Callithrix jacchus: one gene and its partners. Each later gene encodes a partner of the first gene's protein in a complex. Links are inferred from orthologs where the notes say so. Each region holds a gene or a part of one and is shown in the gene's direction. Other genes may lie near its edges.

Region 1 (3,500 bases):
AGGCTAGAGTGCAGTTGGCACAATCTCAGCTCACTACAACCTCCGCCTCCCAAGTTCAAGTGATTCTTGAGCCTCAGCTCCCTAGTAACTGGGATTACAAGCATGTTGCACCACGCCTGGCTAATTTTTGTATTTTTAGTAGAGATGGGGTTTCACCATATTGGCCAGGCTGGTCTCAAACTCCTGATGTCAGGTGATCTGCCCACCTTGGCCTCCCAAAGAGCTGGGATTACAGGCATGAGCCACCATGCCCAGCCCACCCTGTATTCTTTTTAGAGAGTTAGGTTCTGTGGATGAAATCCTTGGACCCTTGACGGAGATCCTGGAGGGAGTGCTGCAGGCCGACCAGCAACTCATGGAGAAGACCAAGGCCAAGGTGTTCTCAGCATTCATCACAGTGCTGCAGATGAAGGAGATGAGAGGTGAGGGGCAGAGGCAGGGGGAGCAGCAGCTGCTGACAGCCGGGCAGGGCTTCCACCAGCTTAGAATCACACGTTTCTCTTGGGACTCTTGAGTTTCTAATCTTGGAATTCTACCTCAGGAAAGCTATTTTTTCCCCCACCTGTCTCTCGTCCCTCTCCTACTGGACAGAGGCTCTCCCTTGTAGCACCCTACTACATTCCTAGCCCCCTGCCTAGGAAGGAAACTTTGGTGGACAGTGAGAGTTGGCCTGGTAAGCATGACAGCGTCCCTCCCTGTCTACTCTGCAGTAAATGACATCCCCCAGTACTCCCAGCTGGTGCTGAATGTCTGTGAGACCCTCCAAGAGGAAGTGATTGCACTCTTTGACCAGACCCGCCACAGCCTGGCATCAGGCAGTGCTGCAGAGGACAAGGACAGCATGGAGACAGACGACTGCTCTCGGCCCCGGCACAAGGACCAGCGTGATGGGGTGAGAGAGTGCCCTAGAAGGCCATCTGTCCTTTCCACTGCCCAGCAGCTCTCTGCCTGACTGGAGGTAACTAGTGAGCAAGACAGAGAGTGGCTGCACTTCTGGAGTTCACAGCCTGGTGGGAAACGTTAATAGATCAGACACGGCATAAAAGCAGGGGAAGCCTCTTGTGACCAGCACTGCAGGAGAGAAGTGCAGGGCAGACTTACAGTCTTGTCTCTAACCTGATCTGGGACTTAGGTGCCTTTTCAGCAATGACTTGGGGATAGTAGCTGTGGCAAATGAAGGTGCAGGGAAGATTTGGGCAGTGAGAAGAGCCCCTGGCCAGCTGTGCTTAGAATTGTCCAGTAACCTGAAGAAAAGCTAGCGTGAGCATAGGAAGGTGAGGACTGAGGAGCTGGGGCTGGATGATGGCAGCTTCATCAGGGTCCTTGATTTGGATCCAAAGTGAAAAAGGAAGCGAGGTCAGGCTTTTAAGCAGGGGAGAAAACTGATCTGATTTTTACTCTAGAAAAATCATTCTGAACTTAAACTCCAGGCCTCAAGCCATCCTCCCAGTTCAGCCTTCCAAAGTGTTGGGATTACAGGCCTGCCCAAGAAAGATCACTCAGGATGCGGTATCAAATAGTATTTTGCAAACTGTGGGGTAATGACCTATTAGGGAGCCTTAAAATTAGCACATTTTGTAACAGCCAGCATTGTTTAAAATGAGTAGAATAAAATATTTAAGAAAATATCACTGTGCCTTGTGTGATGTTGGGTAGGTATTATTAGTGAAAACCTGTAAACATGTACCTGAGGGTATAGTCTCAAAAGTCTTTAGTACTGTGGTTCATGGCCAGAAAGAAGTCTGAAAGGCCACTGATAGGAAGGTAGATTAGAGAGGATGGAGAAGGACCATTTAGGAGGTGGTTACAGCAGCAAAGCAAGAGGTGGTGTCAAGCAGAGCCAGAGAGGTCCCTCAGACTCCATTGGCAGAGTTGGTTAGAGTGTCCAACGTGAGACAAGAGGTGGTACTGACAAGGGTGGTGGCAGTGTGGAAAGGAAGAGCCAATTTAGGGGTTGGTCATTAGGGTGGCTGGAGTTGTTGCTGTTCAATGAGAGCTAGACACAGGAGAGGGGCAGGGTGGGAGAGAGTGTGCATTCTCTGTCACTGAAGCTCACTTGGCATTGTGTATATCCAAGAAGGTCTTGGGCAACCAGGCCCACAGCTGCTTGTCGTTGTCCTCTTCTTCTTCTGCCTTTTACTCATCTTTGCCCCTGGGCCCCAGCAGGTGTGTGTCCTGGGCCTGCACCTGGCCAAGGAGCTGTGTGAGGTAGATGAGGATGGTGACTCCTGGCTGCAGGTGACCCGCAGGCTCCCCATCCTGCCCACCCTCCTTACCACCCTAGAGGTGAGCCTTCGCATGAAGCAGAACCTGCATTTCACTGAGGCCGCATTGCACCTGCTCCTCACCCTGGCTCGCACTCAGCAGGTAGGAGGCCAGCCCAAAGGCAGGAGGGAGCGTCCTTGCTTGTGCTGGCGGGGGTCGGTGGTACTGACAATCCCTGAAGCTACGGTCTAGCCTGAGAGCTCTACCTGCCCTGGGTAGGGCAGGGGCAGGCTCCATCTCATTCCCTGTCTTTCCCTTCTCACAGGGAGCCACAGCAGTGGCTGGAGCTGGCATCACCCAGAGCATTTGTTTGCCCCTTCTGAGTGTGTACCAGCTGAGCACCAATGGCACAGCACAGGTGAGTGTCAGGAGCTTGCCAGGAGGCCTGGCCTGGCCAGCCTACAGTTCCAGTAGAAAAGTGTCCCCCCCTGCCTTTCCCTGGAAGTTGCACTCCTCTTTGTGGCCTAATACACTGATGGTGAGGAATCTTCCCTGCCCCCAGGCGGATCTCTAGCAAGAGAAACTCACCACTAAAAAGGCACCACCTGGCCTTTGTGCACTACCTCTGGGAGATGGGATGGATTCTTCCTGTTGCAGGAGTGAGGAGGACTAAACCAGATTGAGAACACATCCCTGGGACCAGGCCTCTAGCCAAGGCAGCTGTCATCTCCTGTCACTCCTAAAGACAGTGTGTCATTGTGACTTCACCCCTGCCCCACCAGACTAGGACTGGGAGAAGGGAAGCGGGTGGTGTGGGGGCTTGATGGGGCCTCAGCACCCTGCCCTCTGTGTCCCTTGGTTATTTCTAGTTTAACATATACCTCCTAATTCCAAAAGAGTAGTCTTCTGAACCTCTCGTAAGAGTCATTAAGTATTTGGTCATCTAGCCCAGCTACCCCTTAGAGGAAGCATGTGGGGGCCAGAGCAGGGTAGTGACATGTCTGGGTTCACATGGCTAGTGAGTGGCAGGTTTGAGCCTGGAACCTTGGATCTTGTGTCGGCCTGGTGCTCTTCCTTGCATCTGCTGGCCTTGGCCCCCTGGTCACCAGGCAGTGGCTGTGTCTATTCTGAGAGGTCTTTTCCTCCCAGCAGCTGGGCTGCCTTAGCTGCTGTACTGCAGGAAGGCCCTGCCTGTCAGCAGGGTTCCTCAGTTTGTCTGCTGTTTGTGTCTTAGATACCTAGTGCCTCTCGGAAGTCTCTGGATGCCCCCTCTTGGCCAGGAGTCTACCGCCTGT
Region 2 (4,072 bases), on another chromosome or scaffold:
TCTGTCCCTCAATGGTATGGTATTAGGAGGTGAGGACTTTGGTAGGTGATTGGGTCATGAGAGTGAAGCCCTCAATTAGGGCACTTATACAAGAAATATTGGAGAGCTCCCTCATCCTTCTTCTGTGTGTGGTTACAGAGAGAAGAGTACTTTATTAGTGTGTTCTCACGCTGCTATGAAGAAATACCTGAGACCGAGTAATTTATAAAGAAATGAAGTTTAATTGACTCATAGTTCTGCATGGCTGGGAGGCTTCAGGAAACTTACAATCATGGTGGAAGGCACCTGCTCACTGGGCGGCAGGAGAGAGAATGAGTGTAAGCAGGAGAAATGCCAGATGCTTATAAAACCATCAGATCTTGTGAGACTATCACGAGAACAGCATGGTGGAGACTGCCCCCATGATCCAATTACCTCCACCTGGTCTCACCCTTGACATGTAGGGATTATTGGGACTATAATTTGAGGTGAGATTTGGATGGGGACACAGAGCCAAACCGTATCAAGTGTTATCTATGAATTAGGAGGCAGGCCCTCAGCAGACACTGAATCTGCTGGTGCTTTAATCTAAGGCTTCCCAGCTTCTAGAACGGTGAGAAATAAATTTCTGTTGTGTATAAGCCATTCAGTCTATGGATGTCTGACCCCACTTGCCCCCGCTCACCATCTTCCAGCCACACACCCCTTCTTTCTAGTCTCCAAACACTAATCTGGCTTCTCCTGGAGACTTCACTCTTGTTCCCTCTGCTTGGAATTCTTTGAAGCCAGAACGTTGCAAGCTCCATTCTTTCTCATCCTTCTTTAGTCAGCTCAAGACGCCACCACCACAGAAAAGTCTCCTTTGACCATCCAAGCATTCTCTCTCCCATCACCCTGTTTTTTCTTCATAGCTCTTCTTGCAAACTGCAGTTACTTATTTATTATATTTTGTTTCCTCTGCCAGCCTGGGAACTCCATGAGGGCAGCGATCTTGTCTGTCGTGGTCGCCACTGTGTTCCCAGCTCGTAGACTACGGCCCAGCCCTTGGCGCTCAAGGATTAAGAAATTGCTTTAGCTTAAGGAATTCTAGAATCACTTTCTCCTGACAGAGCCGACTCTAATCAAGTGAGAAAGGTGAAGGCTGTGGCTGCCTGTGCCCAAGGCGTGACGGTTCGGCCCAAGGCCCAGCCTCCTCCCCGCCCCTGTTCTTGTCCTCCCCCGACGGGTCTCGATAAAGTTCGTTTGATGGCGCGCCGCGCGGGGGCTTCTGGGAACGGCCAGCGTTGGCCAATCAGGAAGCGGGGGAGAGCGGCGCGAGAAGCGGCGGCCGCGTACTTCAGCCGGCACCCAAGCGGCGGAGACAGCTGTTGTACAAGGTAAGGGTGTCTCTGGTCGCGTCCTTCCGACCCTGGGCTTGTCCTTGAACCCAGGACCCCGTGACTGGGTGGAGCGCCGTCCTCACACTCGCAGCCCCGCCGCTTACACTTCCCGTTCTCCTCAGGGCAGCCAGGCACGCCTAACGCCGGCGACACAACGCCTTGTCTAGCCGCCCCCGAGGCTTAGAGTCGGGCTGCTGCCCTGGGGGTGCCTTTCATCCGCCCGCTTTCTGTATGCAGAACCTAGGCCTGTCACTCCCCCTTCTCCACTGTGACGCCCTCGCTCCACGCCCCTGCTCTCACATCCACCTCATGCCCCGCGAGCCCGCCCTGCCTGCTCGTCTGCACGTCATGGACACACTCTCTAGGGAGACGTTGCCCTGCGAGGGAAGGGATATTTGGGGCAAGTGGAACTTTTCCCAACCATTGGCTTGTCTTTTGTACATCCAGGAGGATGCTAGTGATTGGAACCCAGGAGTGGCCCACCCTTCTCTGTGCCTGCTCCATCCCGTTCTCTGCAAAGGCGATGCCCAAGTTCACTGGGTTTCTTTTGAAAAAATTATGGGGCCGGGCCCATGAGTCTTTGCTGAAAGCGAGAAAGACCCGTTGACAGAACCTGTGGTCTGGGTTTGCCCTTCTGTTAAGTGTGGGAAGGAGGTTTTATTTATTTATTTTTTGCTTTGACTGAGTTGTCTTTGAGCAAAAGCGAGGGTCTTTTTGTATTCTTTCTGGGAGATGTGGGAGGATATCCTTGGTCATCCTAGCTTCTCTTCTTTTTTTCTTTCAGTTCTCCTCCTTTGTGCATTGGTGTTTGCAATATTTTTATTTTCATTCATGGTGATCTCATCCAGGTTCATAGCACTAAATACCTACATATCAGAGGCTAACAGATTCCATATTTATGTCTCCATTGTAGGCCTCACCCCGACCTTTATCCAGCCACCCACTTAGTATCGGATGATAGGCAACTCAGACATGTCAAGAGAAGGCTAGCAAGCTCCCCTTTATTACCCTCCCCAAACTGATCCTGTTGCCTTTTTTTTTTTCATCTCAATAATAGGAAAGACGCTGGCTAATAACCTTTGAGACGTCATTGACTGCTCTCTTTCTTTTTCCTTTTCTTTTTTTTTATTTTTTTTTTTATTTGAGACAGTCTCCCTCTGTCACTCAGGCTGGAATGTAGTAGTGCTGTCTCAGCTCACTGTAACCTCTGCCTCCCAGGCTCAAGCGATTTTTCTGTTTCGGCCTCCAGAGTAGCTGGACTACAGGCGTGTGCCACCTTGCCTGGCTAATTTTTTTTTTTTTTTTTTTTGAGACGGAGTTTTGCTCTTGTTACCCAGGCTGGAATGCAATGGCGCTATCTCGGCTCACTGCAACCTCCGCCTCCTGGGTTCAGGCAATTCTGCCTCAGCCTCCTGAGTACCTGGGATTAACAGGCCTATGCTACCATGCCCACCTAATTTTTTGTATTTTTAGTAGAGACGGGGTTTCACCATGTTGGCCAGGGTGGTCTCGAACTCCTGGCCTCAAGTCATCTGCCCATTTCAGCCTCCCACAAAAGTGTTGGAATTACAGGTGTGGGCCACTACACCCAGCCCTCTCTTTTTCGCACTGCAAATAATACTTGCCGTCCTGGGCTAAGTCACCACCTGTCTTTTGGATTATTGAAATAGTTTGCCACTTGGTCTCCCTGCTTCTGTCCTGGCTCCTATTTTCAGCATACCAGCTAGAGGGATCTTCTTAAAACACAGGCTGTCAGACTGTACCATTCCTTTATTAAAAAAAAAGAAAAAATCCCTCCAGTGAGTCCCCATCTTATTAATGATAGACAAACCCCTTACAGTGAGCTATAAGGCTTTACATAATCTGACCCACTGTTACTTTCCCAGTCTCATTTGCTCTCTCCCCTTGTGCTTGCAATTTAATATCCATGTAGTTTGCACTCACTTCTTCAGGTCTTTACTAGGGGTCACCTAGTGAGGCTTTCCTCACTTCCCGCCTCCCTTCGTCTCTTCAGTTGTTCTTAGCACTTACATTTTACGTATTTTTCTTGCATATTGTTGTCTTCTCCCTGTAGAATATGAGTGAGGGGATTTTTATCTGTTTTGTTCCCTCATGTATTCCTAGCACCTAGGTCTGGCACACAGTAGGTGCTCAAAAAAATATGAACTAGATGAATGTTACTGGCACTGTTGTGGGCATGGAGATACAGTGGTGAATGAGACAGGCCTGCCTTCATTTAACTGATGTGCATATGGAGGGCACCACTAGCAATAAAAGCACAGATTAAAAAAATGTGATGTCAGGACTGTTTCCTAAGGGAGGACAGGTATATTTGAATAATGGGACTATCTGAGAATATTGCAGGTAGGGGGTAAGCAAGTCATGGGACTATCTGAGAGTATTGCAAGTAGGGGGTAGAGCAGGTTCGAAGACCCTGAGGTGTGAGCATTTGGAGATGTGGTGAGCCTGAGGGTCTTAACCTGCTTCCTGATGAACTGAAGTAGAAAATAAAGTTGACGGAAAGATGGATGTACCAAGGAGAGGGACAGGTCAGAGCAAAGATCCGAAGGTAAGAGGGCCCACTCCTCATGAAAAAGTTTATTTAAATAATGTGGAGTTAGAGGGAAGATCTTTTACAAGGTGTGTTCAGGGAACAGGCAGTTTTAATTCAACAGGCATGTATCTGGTACCTATTATCTGCCAGACCTAATGCT
Region 3 (3,500 bases), on another chromosome or scaffold:
ATCTTTCTATCATAACAGATAATCTTCCTGTTAATGTCCTGCTTTGGAAGACGCAATCTGTTTAGTTACTTTTCTGTAGGTAATTAACCAAACATGAAAAATGCCTTCAGGTGACATGAACATTTATTTACAAAGTTAACCTTATTCAGCATTTTATTTAATTGCAGTATGTATACTTATTTTTAGATTTGGCAGACTTAAATGTCAACTCTTGAGAATGATGTTTTATATGTATATTCCTGTCTGTACTTTATAAATACATTATTTATATCGTATCTTATCGGGTTTTATCGATTATATGTCTGCCTTATGTTTGTTTTGCAGATGGATTTTGGTATTTGGAAAGGGCATTTAGACGCCCTAACTGCTGATGTGAAGGAGAAAATGTATAACGTCTTGTTGTTTGTTGATGGAGGGTGGCTGGTGGATGTTAGAGAGGTAAGCTGTGTGCGTTGTTTATAGCCAGAAACCAAAACACTCACCATGTCTTTCTCTTTTTTAAATGCTCTGTCTCTAAATAGGAGCATCTACAGATTTTATGTAATTGTAGATATAGCTAAATCCCATATTTTAAGCTAAGCCGAAAATACTAGCTAGGGAATGGGAATATTTGATTCTTGGATAAACTATTAGTTCACATTTACTATGTTTACACAGGATACAAAAATCTAATTTAAAAAAATCTGGACCTAAATATTTATTATACATGTATGTGACTCAATTTACAGATATGAAGATAACTTGAATAGTATCAGTAAGGGATAGCTAAGGTAGTGGCTCTCACCTCTGGGCTGTCCATTTTAATGACCTGGCAAACTTTTTAAAAACACTGCAGGGTTCCACTCCCAGAGATTCTGGTGTAAATGGTCTGAGGTAGGGCTGGGGTTTGTTTGTTTGTTTTTTTAATCACCTGGAGTGTTTTAATATGATATACAGCCTGTGTTGAAAACCAGTTACAGAAGTATTAAGTGCCATAAGAAAAGCACAGGGTTTTTTTGTTTTTTTTTTTTTGAGACAGAGTTTCGCTCTTGTTACCCAGGCTGGAGTGCAATGGCGCGATCTCGGCTCACCGCAACCTCCGCCTCCTGGGTTCAGGCAATTCTCCTGCCTCAGCCTCCTAAGTAGCTGGAATTACAGGCACGCGCCACCACGCCCAGCTAATTTTTTGTGTTTTTAGTAGAGACGAGGTTTCACCATTTTGACCAGGATGGTCTCAATCTGTTGTTGACTTCGTGATCCACCCGCCTCAGCCTCCCAAAGTGCTGGGATTACAGGCTTGAACCACCATGCCTGGCCTCAAGCACAGGTTTTTATGCTGATTCTCTTGAAGATAGAATTTTAATGTTGCAAAATGTTAATTAAGTGATACTTTAACTTTGAAAAGACTTCAGTGCTTCATTTGTACATAAATCTTTGCTATTCTAATTATTATTTAATCTAAGTAGATTAGGTAGTGAAAGACACAAAATAGTCTGAGGTCTCATAAAAATGGAGCCAAGTGTGGTGGCTCACGCCTGTACTCCTAGCACTTTGGGAGGCTGAGGTAGATGGATCACCTGAGGTCAGAAGCTTGAGACCAGCCTGGACAACAGGGCAAAACTCCGTTGCTACTAAAAATACAGAAAAATTAGCCAGGTGTGGTGGCGCATGCCTGTAGTCCCAGCTACTACGGAGGCTGAGGCCAGAGAATGGCTTGAACCTCCCAGGAGGCAGAGGTTGTAATGAGCCGAGATTGTGCCACTGCACTTCAGCCAAGGTGACAGGTCAAGACCTTGCCTCAAAAATAAATAAATAAAGTTTAGGTGGAAGGCAGTGAATGATACCATTTAATTTCATCAAGGGTTTTAAAAATCAATATTTGATCTCAATTATTTCTTTAAAACTAATCTAGAAAAGAGATTTTTTTGAACAATTAAATAATTAATAATGATATTTTAATCACCCTTGTTGAGTCAAGCCTAATACTCTTATATATTCGATGACGTAGGGCACTATTCAAGGCTCCTGCTAACACATGTCACTTGTATGTGAATTAGAAAATTGTAATTTTGTCTGGCTGCAGTGGCTCACACCTGTAATCCCAGCAGTTTGGGAGGCCAAGGCAGGTGGATCATACAAGGCCGGGAATTAGAGACAGCCTGGCCAATATGGTGAAACCCCATCTCTACTGATAATATTAAAAAACTAGCCAGGTGTGGTGGCTCGTGCCTATAGTCCCAGCTAATAGGGAGGCTGAGGCAGGAGAATCCACTGAACCCAGAGGCAGAGGTTTCATTGAGCTGAGATTGTGCCACTGCACTCTAGCCTGGGTGAGAGGGAGACTCCGTCTCAAAAAAAAAAAAAAATATTGTAATTCTCTTCCCTCACACAGATAGGTTCCATGGCCAGTCCACACGAAATGTAGAACAGAGCACAGGCTACATTTCAGCCCCACTAACTTGCTTAGCCAGCCACCCTTGTACAAGGCATGGCTGTATGCAATAGCCCTAGCATTATGCAGTGTTTTCATATAGCTATGCCTCTAGTTTTTAAATAACTGTAGAATAGTCCCCTTAGTGTTAGGGCTGGTGGCACAGAGGGATGTCAGTGAGAATGGAGCAGGCAGCTCATTACCTACATTTCACCACCTCCATTACCTCTACCTCTAGCACAAGCCTCTGCTGTCTTCCCTGGCTTCTCACTGTTCTTTATACAGTCCATTCCTTATACAGATGTACTAGTGAACCTTTTAGAATGAAATATATGCGACCATCCTACCCAGAACTTTCTGATGCCTTCTTATTACACTTGGAATAAAATCCATCTTTCTTTTCCTGATGTGCAAGACTATACATAGTTTTCTTTTTAAACTAACCCCCTAATCTTGTGTCCTGTTCTCCCCTCACTATATTCTAGCCTTTTGGACCTCTTCACTGGTTCCCCTCTGCCTAGAATGCTCCTTAGCCAAGATATCTGCATGGATGACTTTGTACTTTTAGCAGTCTGCTCAAATGCCATCTCCCTTAAGAACCTCTCCCCAACCCAACCACCCTATTTTAAATAGCATGTATGCATGTGTATATATATATATATATATATATACACGCACACACACTCGTGTCCTTTTTAATCTCCATAGCCTAAATTAGTTTTTTTTCATAGCACTTAGCACAATCTTATATAATACATATTAGTTTATTTGGTTTTCGTATGTCTACCCTCATTAGAATATAACCTTAATGAAGAGAGTAACCTTGTTTTCTTTATTTCTTTGACTCTGGCACTTAAACGTAATGCCAAGCACATGGGAGGCTTTCAATGATATTTGGTAAATGAATGATATTGCATTACTGAGGTGAATGTACTGTCTTCAGATTAGGAATAGCTATAGTATCGGCCGGGCGCAGTGGCTCTCGCCTGTAATCCTAACACTTTGGGAGGCCAAGGTGGGTGGATCACCTGAGGTCAGGAATTCAAGACCAGCCTGGCCATCATGGTGAAACCCCATCTTTAAAAATAAA
Region 4 (3,500 bases), on another chromosome or scaffold:
GAACGACTGATTTAGGGGTCTTTCTTACTTTAATGCTTTAGGTCATATATCAGTTATGTGCATGCTCTGATACGTCTGGCCCTACTATGAGGTACTTGAGAACCAGCCAGGATTTCTTATTTTCCCAGTTGAAGTATCTACCGTTTTCTAACAAAGGTAGGATATTATTTTCCCTTATTATAAGAACAAATTTATAATTCCATGTTAAGTGATTTTATTTATGCAGCATGTGGGGGGAATTCTGTTCTCATTCTAATATTTTGGCTTCTTTGTTATTTCGGGTTCCTTTTGTAATTTCTGCTTCAAAAAACCTGATATTTTATCTGCTAGCAAAAACTTATTTAAATATAGCCTGTCAGAGATAGAATTTGATTCTTTTGCAACAAATGAAATTTAAAGATTGTGTTGAAGGGATACGAAAATTAATGGGAATTTTAAAGTTTTGAATGAAAATTGTTTTACAAAGATTTCTTATTTTCTCTTTCCAGGCTGTTTATAAGGAAAAAAAATCGCGATTTACTTTTGTTTCTTGTGTATATATTGAAACTTATTCAGGTCTTGAAATGAAAACTTGAAAACTAATATGATAGAAAACAGCTTTAACTTAGTTTATTGATATGACACAATTATTCCAGGCTAATGAAGTTTTATTGGGATTTTACTTTATTTTCTTTTGGATCAACTTTTAATAGTTTTCTGAATTCAGATTGTATTCAGACAGTCTTGGTCTATTGAGTTTTTTTTTTTTTTTTTTTTTTTTTTTAATTTTTTATTGGATTATAGGTTTTGGGGTACATGAGCAGAGCATGCAAGACAGTTGCGTAGGTACACACATGGCAGTGTGCTTTGCTTTTCTTCTCCCCTTCACCCACATTTGGCATTTCTCCCCAGGCTATCCCTCCCCACCTCCCCCTCCCACTGGCCCTCCCCTTTTCCCCCCAATAGACCCCAGTGTTTAGTACTCCCCTTTCTGTGTCCATGTGTTCTCATTTTTCATCACCCACCTATGAGTGAGAATATGCGGTGTTTCATTTTCTGTTCTTGTGTCAGTTTGCTGAGGATGATGTTTTCCAGATTCATCCATGTCCCTACAAACGACACGAACTCATCATTTCTGATTGCTGCATAATATTCCATGGTGTATATGTGCCACATTTTTCCAATCCAGTCTATTATCAATGGGCATTTGGGTTGATTCCAGGTCTTTGCTATTGTAAACAGTGCTGCAATGAACATTCGTGTACATGTGTCCTTATAGTAGAACGATTTATAGTCTTTTGGATATATACCCAGTAATGGGATTGCTGGGTCAAATGGAATTTCTATTTCTAAGGCCTTGAGGAATCGCCACACTGTCTTCCACAATGGTTGAACTAATTTACACTCCCACCAACAGTGTAAAGGTGTTCCTTTTTCTCCACATCCTCTCCAGCATCTGTTGTCTCCAGATTTTTTAATGATCGCCATTCTAACTGGCGTGAGATGGTATCTCAATGTGGTTTTGATTTGCATCTCTCTGATGACCAGTGACGATGAGCATTTTTTCATATGATTGTTGGCCTCATATATGTCTTCTTTCGTAAAGTGAGTTTTTTTAAAGTTTAGTTTGTATCATCTTTGTGTTTTAGGAAATTGAGGCTCACACATTTCATAAACAAATTTCTGTTACTAGTAATTGCCAGCATCTCATTTACCTTTTAGAGTAAATGGTGTTAAACCTCTGAGAATTATCTAATGGCATAAGAATTTTCACTTTATTTTCATTAGTGTCTTATTTTTAGTTCTGTGATTTTCTTTATGTAAGAAGCTTTTAGTAACCCTCTTTTTATACCTAATTAAAAAGAAAATTTAACATTTTACTTATTATGGTACATGTTTTATAAAACTTCATTTAGCTTTTCCTGAAATTATTATTAGTATTATTGTTATTTGGTTAATTTTATGTTTATACTGTCACAGTATAGGGTTCAATGTCAAGCATGTTAAAATAGTATTGAATTTAAAAACTGTTATTGTAGGACTAGGCACAGTGGCGCACACCTATAATCCTAGTGCTTAGGTAGGCTGAGACAGGAGGATCACCAAGGCCAGGAGTTCAAGAACAGCCTGGGCAGTAGAGCGAGACCCTGTCTCTACAATAAAAAAATAAATAAAAATGAAAACTATTGTGTAAGTGATTCCTAGCCTTAATTAAATGTTAAACCACATCCTTGAGATATTATAAAATCAAGTAATTTAAGTTTGATTTTTCTTAAGTATTTATTTTGTGAAATCAAAACCAAACTGTGATAGTTTTTGAGTTATGTATTTGAAAATTACTTTGAGAGGGAGCACCCCTCCACTCCATTTGCTCGCAGTATCCTAAAATCTGTGCTCTCGCTGCAGTTCCCTTTGGGTTCCATGTTTTTCTTGTTCCCTTCCATGCCTAGCTGGATTGCAGAGTTGAGTTAAGTTTATGATTATGAAATAAAGACTAAATAACAATAAAAAAATTACTTTGAAATATTGTTTTATATATTAATGTCAAAATATGATAGACTCAGAATCTTGGTGAAATTAAAATTAGTAATGAAAACTAGATTCCCTTTTACTCTTCATTTACCTTAGCTCATCTTTCATAGATTTATACTAGCTTATTTTTTCTTCCTTGGTATCTTTTTTTTTTCTAGTAATTCTACAGAATGAGAAATTATTGCGTTGCTGAGTTTCATAAATTACTGACTTCGTTACATGGGAAAATACCTGTTGAGTTATGGAATTTAAGTCTGTTTTGATACTATGCTATTATTCTAGGAAACAAAATTTACTTTTTAAATTCTAGAATATGAAATTTCTATGCTGAACCAGATGTCATGGCTTATGAAAACTGCCTCAATAGAACTAAGGGTAACCTCTCTGAATCGTCAGCGGTCACATACCCAGAGGCTCCTACACCTCTTATTGGATGACATGCCAGTGAAACCATACTCAGGTGAGTATTAGTATTTGTTTTATTGTGCTGGTGACTAGTTATTCTGAAGACAAAGCACAGATCTGAAGCTTGTGCTTAGTATGTGATTATAGACCAAAATCAACTTCTCACTTTTAGAATGTTTTTTTTTTTAAAACACAAAAATATTAACTCATCTTTTGATTGTCATTTATTATTATTTTAAGCATCCACATTACACTGTAGTCATACCGGTATTATACTCAAAATTGTCAGTGGAGTTTGTCATGCTGACCCAGCATGACCTAAGCTATTTCAATGTGTATTATTCATGCAAATTAAGCATAAACTTTAAAATCATCTCATTGGTATGATTGGATCTTGCCATTTTTGAGAATCTGATTATTCTCTTTATAATTGTGAGATGGATTCCATATGGATGGAAAGAATTAGATGAATGTTGGTAGTAAGTCCTCATCTTTCTTCGCATTCTAATTATGAATTTGCACAGGGCTCTTTGACGTAGAAACAATGATCTAGAAATAAAATACTTTATGTTTGTTATTTCCAA
Region 5 (3,933 bases), on another chromosome or scaffold:
TGCCTGAGAAACTTACTCTCTGCCCTCTGCCTCCCTAGATTACTGCCCCAATGCCTGGAGGAAAGACAGGTGAAGGCCGAAAGCCACGGGAATAGCGAAAGTGGGCAAATTGGACCTCCAGCTCCCTTTCTGCAGGTCTATCTCAGTCCACAGCCCTTGCACATGCTCCCTTTGAATTCTCCAAGCATACCAGTAACTTCCAAAACTCTTGGGACTTTGCTTATGAGGGCATCTCGGCCTGGAATGCTCCTCCTTATCTGTCTTGAGTGGGTGTCAAAAAGAGTATATTTTGATGACCTCTCCCGGCCCCTCATGCTCGCTCACATCCCCCTCACTCCTTTCAAAGTCCGTTCCCAAAGCCCCCAGTTCACCGTCCTGGGCTGCTTTTAGCCACGTGAGACCTAAAGTGATCCCCTCTTGGAACCTGATCTGGGGCCTATACTTCTGGGGCAGTCTGGGAGTGCTCTCGAAGGGCCACCCTCAAAGAGCGAACCTCGGCTGGATTCAGTTCCTAGGTACCAGCAGTCCGACCTCTGCAACGACGCTCAGCACACCCCTTCCCCTCTCTGGGTCTCAGCTGCCCCGTGAGTACAGCCCCTGCTCCAACACGCAAGGTCAGTAGCATCTGGGGGCTCTGATGCACTCGGTCCCTAACTCAGCCTGAGGTCAGCCCAGAAAGCACCCGACCCGGGAGGCCCCGCAGCTCTTCACTCTCCCGCCCTGCCCAGTCGCTGACACAAGGTGACTTCCAAGGGCAAGACCACGACTCTTACCCGTCTGTAGGCGCCCCCCTGGCTGGCCTCAGCTCGCAAGCAGGCTGCACCCACCGAACTCTAGCCTCAGACCGCCACCCTTTACTACCCTCCCGCGTGAGACGAGAATCAGCCGAGCTTCCTCCACCAAGAGGATTGGCCCAGCTCAGCGTTGGCTAAGCCAATTGGCGCTCGCGGCGTGATCTTGCCCAGTTATGACTGGCCTGTGTCGCCAGCGTGCCCCTCCCCGCGCTGGTCCAGGGCTTTGCCAGGTTAATTCCACCCACTTCGGCCCTGAACCAATGGAGAGCGGCGAGGGCCAGAAGACGGCCAATGGAGAGCGGGGCTGCGCGCAGGGGGCGGTGGGAACGGGGCCGAGTCAGTGTATACTGCGGTTGCCTAACAACCGGCAGCGGAGTCCTTTGGCTATGGTGAGTGCTGGCCGCTCCGTCGCGCCCCACGCCCAGAGGTTGAGCCCTTCCCAAGCCCCGGCTGTGCCACGCCGCCTCTCCTGCGCCTTTCTCGGCTTTGGCGTACAGTCCTTCCTTTGAGCTCTTTCCCGGAAGGGTAGGGTACAGGCGCTAACCAACCTACTGGGCCTGCGCTTCGCTACTGCCTCCCCTTCACCCACGACAGGCCCACACCCGCCCCTCAGGCTCCCCTGGCGTTCCCTGGTCCCCTCGGTGACCCTCCCTGGGCAAAAAAGACTCGAATCCCTCACAGACCCCTGACTCTCTCAGACCTTGGCCTCCTGGCCGCCTCATTCTGCCAAAGTTTCCCCACAGAACTGGGAGAAGGTGTATTGTTTTCTTTGAAAATGTTTTCTACAATATAAATATAGGGGCATTAAGGGGATGCTTTAGCTTCTTGGAGAAGGCACGAAGGTGCCAGATGGATTGAGTTTTATTATTAGATACTGACACGATATACATCTTAACTTCCTAATATTTGGGCAAATCTAGAAGTAATTGGGAAGTCAGAGTACTTACTAGGAAGCGGAGTACTGGCAGTGGGCATTTTAAGGCTGTTTCCAGAACCAGGTTCCCCACATTCGGGAAGAGCTGATTATCTCTAGTTGTTCACAGTCAGTTTCTTGACTAGCTCTCTTTTGGGATGATTTTCAATAAGAGATATCCTTACTGAACAAATGATCTCCCTGCATCTAGAAACAATAGTAAACCCTGTGATATTTCTTGTTAAGCAAAGCTTTGGAATTGGTTATAAATGACTTTAAAAATACATATAGGTGTCTGTAACTATGTTATGTAAATATGGACTGTATTATATATTATTGTGCTTATGTATTTGCATAACATATAAAGGCCTCCAGCTTTAAGAAGGCAAACATGGCGTCAAGTGCCCAGCGAAAAAGAATGAGTCCTAAGCCTGAGCTTACAGAAGAGCAGAAGCAGGAGATCCGGGAAGCGTTTGATCTTTTTGATGCAGATGGAACTGGCAGCATAGATGTTAAGGAACTTAAGGCAAGCTCTATGCATTCCTGCCGTTTGCCCTGCCTTTCCTCTCCCTCTTCCTTGTCATCTCTTTATCACCTCTCTACCCCTTTTGCCCTCTTCTCCCTGCAGTAAGTAACAGGGGAGGTTGTACTGTGCTCTGTTTTCCTGTCTTTACTTACCTTGAGTATTATCAGATGGATTGCAGATATCAATTAGATCTGTGTTAAAGTGTTCCCGAATCATATTAACATGATCACATCAGATACGGACTTAATGCTCTCAACACTGTTATTTTTGCTTCTTATAGTTTAGATGTGTATATTGAGACAATCCTGTTTTCATTGTAGGTGGCAATGAGGGCCCTGGGCTTTGAACCCAAGAAAGAAGAAATTAAGAAAATGATAAGTGAAATTGATAAGGAAGGGACAGGAAAAATGAACTTTGGTGACTTTTTAACTGTGATGACCCAGAAAATGGTAAGTAGTTAAGACAATTGGCATGGTACAGAGCCCCAGTCATCTGCAGAGGCCCATGGCATCTGCCTGTTAAAACAGTCATGTGAGCACACAGCAGTTCAGGCCTGCCCTCCCGTCATGTTACCTTGTGCTTCTCTCTCAAGACTTCCAAGCAGATACCTCATCCCACAGAATTCCAAACCAGTTAAGAAACAGATGTGGGATAGGGAGCAAATGTCACCTTGGATGGAGTGCCTGGCTTGCCTGGTGTTTCTCTGAGGCCAAAATGGGCTTCCTGACACTGGCTGCAAGTCTAGACTCGAGTTATTGTTAAAAAGGAGAGGGTGACTGGGCAGCGGCAGGGCTACAGGACACAAGTAACCGTGGTGTCTCCCTACTCATGTGTTTTATGTTCTACTTGTTAAGTCTGAGAAAGATACCAAAGAAGAAATCCTGAAAGCTTTCAAGCTCTTCGATGATGATGAAACTGGGAAGATTTCGTTCAAAAATCTGAAACGCGTGGCCAAGGAGTTGGGTGAGAACCTGACTGATGAGGAGCTGCAGGTTTGTAATGCCTCACACTGGAACTTCAGATTCCCACCTTTCAGCCTTCTGTGCCTTTTCTGTTACATTTTTCCTCGTGTGAGCATCTCTTTGAAGGAAAGCCAGTGGACTCTTGTCCCTTTAATAGTCAGACAAACCTATGAGCCCTGCTTCTAGAAAAATGCACAGGTGCACAATCTTACTTACTATTTTGGGTTCCAGGAATCCCTCTAGTCAAGGCAGTCTTCAAGCTCCCTCCCAGGTGATATGTTTCACAAAATATGACTTGGTTTTCAAATAACTATTCAGGAACCAGGCTATTATCAGGAGTAGCATACTGGCATTGGGTGGACTACGATGATCTTTTCACATAGCTTTATTAAAGTCTATTGCTTCCCAGGCACAGTGGCTCATGCCTATAATCCCAGTACTTTGGGAGGCTGAGTTAGGAGGATCACTTGAAGCCAGGAATTTGGCACTAGTGTGGGCAGCATAGAGACCCTGACTGTAAAAAAAGTCTATTCCTTAATCACCTTTTTGAATTAGTTTATAAATTAAGCTAACCTGAATATTTACTGTCATATAGGAAATGATTGATGAAGCTGATCGAGATGGAGATGGAGAGGTCAGTGAGCAAGAGTTCCTGCGCATCATGAAAAAGACCAGCCTTTATTGAGATCAGTGTCTTCTTTTCTACTGCAAGCACATGTAACTAGATTTAGTGCCTGC
Region 6 (3,500 bases), about 2.2 Mb from region 1:
TTCATTTATCTCATGCTACATGAAAACTTCAATATTAACTGTGTTCCCATCTATTCTTTTTGCTTCTTAAACTAGTATCATTCTGGCTTCATTCTACCACACATTCTTTTTCACTTGCTTTCCCTTATGTGAACCTCCACTCTTACAGTGTTAACCTTTTCCTTTTTTTTTTTTTTGTCACTGCAGGAAGTACGCCCACTACCCCGACCTCCCCTCAAGCCCCACAGAAACTGGATGCTTCTGCAGCTACAGCCCCTGCCTCTCTGCCACCATCATCACCTGCTGCTCCCCTTGCCACTTTTTCTTTGCTTCCTGCTGGTGGGGCTCCCACTGTGTTCTCCTTTGGTTCTTCATCTTTGAAGTCAGCTGCTACAGTCACTGGGGAGCCCCCTTCATATTCCAGTGGCTCAGACAGCTCTAAAGCAGCCCTGGGCCCTGGCCCATCAACTTTTTCTTTTGTTCCCCCTTCTAAAGCCTCCCTAGCCCTCACCCCTGCAGCGTCTCCCATGGCTCCATCAGCTGCTTCATTCTCCTTTGGATCATCTGGTTTTAAGCCTACCCTGGAAAGCACACCAATGCCAAGTGTGTCTGCTCCAAATGTAGCAGTGAAGCCCTCCTTCTCACCCTCAGCAGTCAAAGTCAACCTTAGTGAAAAGTAAGTCATTTCTAAAGTTTGATTCTTCTGTGGGATGGGTAGAAATATTGCATGTTATTTGCTAGACGTAGAGTCACTGTGAGAGGAGTTACTGAGTAGAATTTTTTACCCAGAGTAATACTTTCAAGTGGTAGAAATTCAGCCAACATAAAAAGCTGGCATTTCATCAGTGGATAGAGTCCAGAAGGGTCTCTTAGCTAGCATTTTGTTTTTTTGACTATTAGGGATTTATATTCAAATATTTGTGGTTTTTTTTACATTACAAAGGTAGGAAATATTCCTTATTTTAAAAAAAGAAACAATCAAGAATATATATCCTAGAAGGAAATTAATCCCTTGTAGACTTCCCCCCCAACCCGTGTCCACCCTTAATTCTCAAATGTCTACATAGCCACAAAGTGATCTTGCGACATCGTAAATTGTTAGGTGATTCTTCTGCTTGACAGTCCCTGTGAAGCCCCATGGCTGCTCACTGCTAATTATTAGGTTGGTATCCAATTTCCTCCAGATCTAAGTCCTACAGCTCACTCATTTCTTATTTATTTACTTCTTTATCTGCTTGTTCTTTTCTCCCCACTAGAATGTAAGCTTTTCAAAGGAAGCAATCCCTTATATTTTGTAACCCCTCCCAAGATAACCACTGGTTATAGATACTACCAGCCTTTCCCTGCTTGCCTGTACTCTCTGTTGTTGCTGTGGTGGTGCTGCCACTGTCAGCTACTGTTAATATTTATCCGGCAGGCAGCCGCTTCATGCTAAGGGTTGCATAGTGTTCTGTTTTGTTGGCTGCACCACAGTTTATCTGACCAGTCATCTAATGCTGGATGTTTAGATTGTCTACAGACTTTTGCTCTTTAGGTGGAACTGGCTTTACATTCCCTTTAGGCCATGAGTATCCCAAAGACAGTGACTTGCGTTTCTCTTCCTTTTTCACTTCCAGAAAAGGTGGTCACTCTCAAAACGAGTTCTTAGTAATTTCCTTGGTAAGAAAAAGTACTAACTCCAGGAGGCTGAGGCAGGAGAATTGCCTGAACCCAGGAGGCCGAGGTTGCGGTGAGCCGAGATCGCGCCATTGCACTCCATCCTGGGTAACAAGAGCAAAACTCCGTCTCAAAAAAAAAAAAAGAAAGAAAAGAAAAAGTACTGACTCCCCTAAGCGTAATTGGGTCCCACCTCCTGTTTAAAACTCAGCTGGACACAATAATATTTCATATCCTGATAAACTTGGTATTTTATATTGTGATAAACTTAGTTTTGTCTTTAAGTATTTGATATTTCCCCTAAATAACACATCCTAAATAAGCAGACGATAAGATAAATGCTTCCTTGCAGCTTTCACCTTTTGTAAGAAATAGCTAAACATTTATGTTTTCTGAAGGCACAAAAGTTTATAATCTTTGTAAGTTAACATAAAAGAAAATAAGTTATCTTCTGATGACATTGCTCATGCTAGTTTGGAAGAATCTTCTAGCAAGCTCTTCTGAGGCCTTCTGGCTGCCGTTTTTCAGGTTTACTGCCACACCTTCCTCTGCTCCTGTTAGTAGCTCCCAGAGCACACCCTCGATGCCGCCATTCTCTTCTGCCTCCAAGCCAACTGCTTCTGGACCACTCAACCACCCCACGCCTCTCTCAGCATCATCCAGTTCCGTGTCATTGAAGTCCTCAGTCTTGCCTTCAACATCAGGTCTGATTTTAAGCAAACAACTTCAGACCTTAGCCCTGCCTTCTCAGATTAATGGTTTTAAGTGTTAAGAGTCCTAACTAACAGTTGGACAGGGTTTTTTTTTCTTGCTTCCTGTATCTTACATAAGTGATAAATGTGCTGTGCTTTTCGTACTCTGAATTGGGAGACTTGCTATGGCTTTAATGCTGCCACACTTCTCTCTGACACTTCTTATGGAGCTAAGTGTACTTAATGATTCAAAGAAAATGTCTTACTGTTGAGCATTTATCTTCATGTGGAGCCTGCACTTTGTGAAGCACAGTTACAGAACAGTTGTTTAAGAAGCACAGGCACAAGAATTATTTGGCCAGGTACAACAGCACATGCCTGTAATCCCAGCACTTTGGGAGGCTGAGGCGGGTGGTTTCCCAGAGGTTGGAGTTCAAGATCAGCCTGGCCAACATGGTGAAACCCCATCTCTACTCAAAATACAAAAATCAGCCAGGTGTGGTGGTGGGTGCCTGTAATCCCAGCTACTCAGGAGGCTGAGGCAGGAGAATTGCTTGAACCCAGGAGGTGGAGATTCCAGTGAGCCAAGATCGCACCCCTGCATTCCAGTGTGGGCTACAGAGCAGGACTCCATCTCAAAAAAAAAAAGACTCACAGAAGAGAGAGTGCCTGCAGCAACTGTATTCGTATTTTCAGTTAGTCATACTATAAGCAGGAAGTGTTTTGGCTTTTGTTTTGTTTTGTTTTGAGACAGATTGTCTGTCACCCAGGCTGTAGTGCAGTGGAATGCTCCAGACTCACCACAGCCTCTACCTCCTGGGCTCAAGCAGTCCTCCCACCTCAGCCTCCTGAGTAGCTGGGACTACAGGCATGTACCACCACCGCTGGCTAATTTTTAAATTTTTTTATAGAGACAAGGTCTTGCCATATTGCTGAGGCTGGTCTCAAACTCCTAGGCTCAAGCAATCCTCCTGTCTCAGCCTCCCAAAGGGCTAGGATTACAGGTGTGAGCCACCATACCTGGCTCCTAAAATGTTCATATTTTGTTTTTTTTCATTATCTTAGAACAGAGACTAGCACAGCTGGTGGACATCACTTTTTAAAATAAATCATAAAAGTGGGGCCAGGGGCAATGTGTAACTTAATTCCTTTGATTTAGAGAAGGGACATTTG
Region 7 (3,959 bases), on another chromosome or scaffold:
TATGGTGAAACCCCCTATCTACCAAAAATACAAAAATTAGCTGGGTCCCATTTCAAAAAAAGAATAGTTCACCGGACAACGTGGCTCATGCCTATAATCCCAGCACATTGGGAGACCGAGGCAGGTGGATCACTTGAGGTCAGGACTTCGAGACCAGCCTGACCAACATGGTGAAATCCAGTCTCTACTAAAAATACAAAAATTAACTGGGCCTGGCGGGTGCCTGTAATCCCAACTATTCGTGAGGCTGAGGCTGGAGAATTGCTGGAACCTGGGAGACACAGGTTGCAGTGAGCCGAGATGGCACCACTGCACTCCAGCCTGGGAGACAAAGCGAGACTTCATCGCGAAAGGAAAAAAAAAAAAAAAAAAGAAGTAGGAGGTTCTCCCGTGCAGCTGGGAAAGACGTTCCAACAATCCTCATTTGTACTAGGCCCTTTGGTGGGCCATTCCCTTAGGGCATCTCTACTGCTCCTAATGTCTGTCCTAGAAATTCGGAGAGGGAAAGAATGTGCTGGGGCAAGCATAGGTCAGAAAAGAATAGGGTAAGGATCTAGGCCCCTGAAGCAGCCTCAGGCAAACTCCTTGGACAGACAGACCTCCCGGAAGGGTCCTCAAACTCCGCACGTGGTCTGTCCAGGAAGTGCGGGCAGAGAGACGAGAAAGCCTTCCCAGCAGCGCCCGCGGACCGGGGCAAGTAAAGGGTCGAATAGTTACCATGCCATTCTGGGGCCGTCCCTCTCATTGGCCCGAGCTCCCGCAGCCTGAGTCTCAGCGCTCCAAGGCAGGGGGCGGAGTCTCTATTTTGCGTCACCACTCTTCCCCACATCCCGCCGGTGCTTCCCAATCTAGCCATTCACAAGCCCACTTAGAGAGGCCCTGTGTGACGTCACAACTCACTCCCATCAACCGCAGCGGCGAGGGGGCGGGACCCCACGGCCCTCTTACCGCTCCTCCCCTGTACCGCCCCTAACTCCTTGTGTCCCTCCCCTTCCCTCTCGCCCCTTCCACCCCGAAGACCGCCCTCATGTTCGGTTTCAAAAGACGCGTTGCCCAATGAATAACAGGGCCGACCCAGAGTGGCGGCCACGTTCACCAATTCGTGGACGGCGAGGGCGGAGCGCCTGCAGCGAGCCCCTGACGCCGGGCGGCGTGTGACGCACTCGGGCCCTCTGCGCGCTGCGCCCGAAGCGGTGGTCGGTAGCTGTGGTGGTAGCGGCGGTGACGGTGACGGTGACGGTTTCGTGGGGGCCGCGCGCTGCTCCGTTAGCGGCGGGTGGCGGACGGGACCGGGCCCGGATTCCTGACATTTCCCCTCTCCTAAAGAACCGCGGTAAGTCGGGAGCCGGAGATGCCGCGGCCGAGAGCGGCAGGCTCCTCCTCCCTGGAGGACGGACGCGCGGGGCGTCCCAGGGCCTCTCAGCGCCGAAGTCTCTCGCCGCGGCGCACACCTTCAGGCCTGAGAGAGGGGCGGGGCCCAGGACCCTGAGTCTCGGTGGTCCGGTTCTGGAGGCCCTGGGAGGGAATGGACATCGGTGGGATCTAGGCCTGGGGGTCTCCACTTGAGCCCACGCGAGTGGGCGTCTGTCTGGTTGTAGTCATTCATTCGTTCGGCGGTGTTAGGACCCCACGGTGGGCTGGACTTTACGGAATCGTCCTTTACGCCTTGAGACTCCGAATATGGGCTGCCCCGCACTTCCTTGACCGTCATGTGGGGATGGGCTTTATTTGCTTTGGCTTCTCCTTAAGGGAAATGGGCACCTCGAGGATTAGGGTGAGTCTGAAGTTTGTTAGATTTTTAAACTAATATCTGAGAATGGAAGTCGGTTCGGTGGAGCAAAAGGTTTTCTGTTTTTCCACGTGTTCCGTGTAAAGCCAGATGAGGAGAAAAATGGAGTTTCTGGATTACTGCAGCCATAAAGAACTTAGAAATTGTTTAAGTCAATCTTCCTACCTTACATCGCATTTCTGTCGATGGGGAAACTGAGGTCCGTAGTAACAGGCAGGATTAGCCAATGCCAGATCTCTGACAGTCTAAAAATTTTTTTACTTAGATGTTTCAGCCTCCCATTATTAAGAATTACCTTTAGGAAGTCGGTGCGGATGCATATTAGGTAGCTGGACGTAGATGGAATCTTCATAGCGTTTTCCATTTAGTTGCTACCAGCTCTGTTTACGGAAGGTGGAAGCTTCGTTAACCTAGACCTCAACAACTAAACTTAGAAGATGGTTAAAGAATGTCAGTGATGTTATTTATTGGAAACAAATCGATAAAACTACAAGCCATTGTTGGCCTTTCTAAATGTGAATTTTTTGATTTGTGCCAGCTGCTGAGGACTCGCAGTCAGTGATTTTTAACAGTACTGGAATAGAAAGCAGAAAATACTGACAGGACTTAGAAAGCTAAGCAGGAGTCCGTTTATAGTACCTCATGGCTCCATTCAGGTACAGAATTCATAGTGGAGTATTATAGTAGAATGAGGTGAGAAAACAAAACTCCATTTTGGAGGAAGAAGCTATCAGAAAGAGAGAGGAAGGGAGGGAGGGAGGGAGGGAGGAAGGGAGAAAGGGAAAGAGCAGTGATTATTCCCTGTGACAGTCTTATAAATTCAGGAAGAAGCTCTAGTTAGTTAACTGGGTTACAGAATGTTTACCTGGTGGAGGAAGTTAGAGTATTTAAAAACCAAAACTAGAGATTGAACAGGATAAAGGTACTGGGAAGGCTGGGTGCAGTGGCTCATGCCTGTAAACCCAGCACGTTGGGTGGCTGAGGTGGTCTGATCACGAGGCCAGGAGTTCCAGACCTGCCTGACTAACATGGTGAAACCCCATCTCTACTAAAAATACAAAAATTAGCCCAGTGTGGTGGCGCATGCCTGTAATCCTAGCTACTCGGGAGGCTGAGGCAGGAGAATCACTTGAACCTAGGAGGTGGAGGTTGCAGGGACCCAAGATCATGCCACTGCACTCCAGCCCGGGCGACAGACCAGACTCCGTCTCAAAAAAGAAAACAAAAAAGGTACTGGGAAATACTTGGGTAAAATTACTGGTTTTGACTTCTCAGATTTGATGAAATTGAATTAGTTGACACTTTGGTCTGTTCACATCAGTAAGGTTGTCACTTTGCTCTTATTTAGATGACAAAGCATAAACTCAAAACCAGTAGTGCAGGGAGAACAGTAAAGCATGAACAGGGTATGTTTTCTGTGACATTTTCTCAGTTCAAGCGTCTTCTGGGAAGCTTTTCTTGGCATTCTCTCCTCTGCAAGCTTCCATAACACCTATTTGATACTTCTATTTATAGCACCTATCATTTCTATTTTAGCTGTGTTTTTATTAGTCTGGTAAAATATTTTTGTCTTTGTAGTCCAATTGCCTGCCACATAGTAGGCCCTCAATAAGTGTGTTTAGACTTATTGAATGAATAGACAAATATGGAGGAGTTATACCTAACAGTAGTCAATAAAGAAATCTGTTTATATGTTATGTGTTAGTCTGCTGTTTCTAGGTTATGTGATACTTTGGTACCTGACTTTATTTAATGAGATAGGGTCTCACTCTGTCACCCAGGCTGGAGTGCAGTGGTACAGTCTTTCGGTTCACAGCAGCCTTGACCTCCTGGGCTCAAGCAGTCCTCCCACCTCAGCCTCCAAAGTAGCTGGGACCACAGGTGTGCACTGCCATACACAGCTAATTTTTTTATTTTTTATTTTTTATTTTTTGGGGGGTAGAGACGGGGTTTTGCTATGTTGCCCAGGCTAGTCTTGAACTCCTGGGCTCAAGCCATCCACCCACCTCAGCCTCCCAAAGTGTTGGGATTACAGGCAGGAGCCACTGTGATCAGCCAGTACCTGACTTTATGTCTGCTACATCTTAGATAAATAAGAGCAAGTAGAATTTTTAGGGAACCAAATTTACAGCTTTGAAAAAATTAGCCAGTTTTTTTGTAATATGATTTA

The links.
Region 2: NUP188 (region 1) and NUP93 share a complex: the UniProt entries of both Homo sapiens proteins name them as parts of the nuclear pore complex. The link is inferred for Callithrix jacchus from reciprocal best matches to the Homo sapiens genes NUP188 and NUP93.
Region 3: NUP188 (region 1) and NUP107 share a complex: the UniProt entries of both Homo sapiens proteins name them as parts of the nuclear pore complex. The link is inferred for Callithrix jacchus from reciprocal best matches to the Homo sapiens genes NUP188 and NUP107.
Region 4: NUP188 (region 1) and NUP205 share a complex: the UniProt entries of both Homo sapiens proteins name them as parts of the nuclear pore complex. The link is inferred for Callithrix jacchus from reciprocal best matches to the Homo sapiens genes NUP188 and NUP205.
Region 5: NUP188 (region 1) and CETN2 share a complex: the UniProt entries of both Homo sapiens proteins name them as parts of the nuclear pore complex. The link is inferred for Callithrix jacchus from reciprocal best matches to the Homo sapiens genes NUP188 and CETN2.
Region 6: NUP188 (region 1) and NUP214 share a complex: the UniProt entries of both Homo sapiens proteins name them as parts of the nuclear pore complex. The link is inferred for Callithrix jacchus from reciprocal best matches to the Homo sapiens genes NUP188 and NUP214.
Region 7: NUP188 (region 1) and NUP98 share a complex: the UniProt entries of both Homo sapiens proteins name them as parts of the nuclear pore complex. The link is inferred for Callithrix jacchus from reciprocal best matches to the Homo sapiens genes NUP188 and NUP98.

The regions. Positions count from the first base shown.
Region 1 is NC_133502.1:177,579,338-177,582,837, forward strand, and holds part of NUP188 (nucleoporin NUP188), read left to right. Parts: intron 1-276; coding exon 277-422; intron 423-710; coding exon 711-892; intron 893-2,166; coding exon 2,167-2,367; intron 2,368-2,530; coding exon 2,531-2,623; intron 2,624-3,439; coding exon 3,440-3,500. UniProt on the Homo sapiens protein: Component of the nuclear pore complex (NPC), a complex required for the trafficking across the nuclear envelope. Required for proper protein transport into the nucleus.
Region 2 is NC_133521.1:14,609,335-14,613,406, forward strand, and holds the start of NUP93 (nuclear pore complex protein Nup93), read left to right. Parts: upstream 1-1,272; 5' UTR 1,273-1,355; intron 1,356-4,072. UniProt on the Homo sapiens protein: Plays a role in the nuclear pore complex (NPC) assembly and/or maintenance. May anchor nucleoporins, but not NUP153 and TPR, to the NPC. During renal development, regulates podocyte migration and proliferation through SMAD4 signaling.
Region 3 is NC_133510.1:50,412,531-50,416,030, reverse strand, and holds part of NUP107 (nuclear pore complex protein Nup107), read left to right. Parts: intron 1-324; coding exon 325-438; intron 439-3,500. UniProt on the Homo sapiens protein: Plays a role in the nuclear pore complex (NPC) assembly and/or maintenance. Required for the assembly of peripheral proteins into the NPC. May anchor NUP62 to the NPC. Involved in nephrogenesis.
Region 4 is NC_133512.1:111,670,989-111,674,488, reverse strand, and holds part of NUP205 (nuclear pore complex protein Nup205), read left to right. Parts: intron 1-41; coding exon 42-156; intron 157-662; exon of another isoform or gene 663-1,088; intron 1,089-2,821; coding exon 2,822-2,971; intron 2,972-3,500. UniProt on the Homo sapiens protein: Plays a role in the nuclear pore complex (NPC) assembly and/or maintenance. May anchor NUP62 and other nucleoporins, but not NUP153 and TPR, to the NPC.
Region 5 is NC_133524.1:148,960,081-148,964,013, reverse strand, and holds the start of CETN2 (centrin-2), read left to right. Parts: upstream 1-1,133; 5' UTR 1,134-1,180; coding exon 1,181-1,183; exon of another isoform or gene 1,184-1,319; intron 1,320-2,074; coding exon 2,075-2,233; intron 2,234-2,553; coding exon 2,554-2,682; intron 2,683-3,087; coding exon 3,088-3,225; intron 3,226-3,790; coding exon 3,791-3,880; 3' UTR 3,881-3,933. UniProt on the Homo sapiens protein: Plays a fundamental role in microtubule organizing center structure and function. Required for centriole duplication and correct spindle formation. Has a role in regulating cytokinesis and genome stability via cooperation with CALM1 and CCP110.
Region 6 is NC_133502.1:179,798,267-179,801,766, forward strand, and holds part of NUP214 (nuclear pore complex protein Nup214), read left to right. Parts: intron 1-186; coding exon 187-655; intron 656-2,163; coding exon 2,164-2,339; intron 2,340-3,500. UniProt on the Homo sapiens protein: Part of the nuclear pore complex. Has a critical role in nucleocytoplasmic transport.
Region 7 is NC_133511.1:69,220,630-69,224,588, reverse strand, and holds the start of NUP98 (nuclear pore complex protein Nup98-Nup96), read left to right. Parts: upstream 1-1,159; 5' UTR 1,160-1,333; intron 1,334-1,668; exon of another isoform or gene 1,669-1,774; intron 1,775-3,959. Other genes in the region: acyltransferase PGAP2, read right to left, coding at 600-856. UniProt on the Homo sapiens protein: Plays a role in the nuclear pore complex (NPC) assembly and/or maintenance. NUP98 and NUP96 are involved in the bidirectional transport across the NPC. May anchor NUP153 and TPR to the NPC.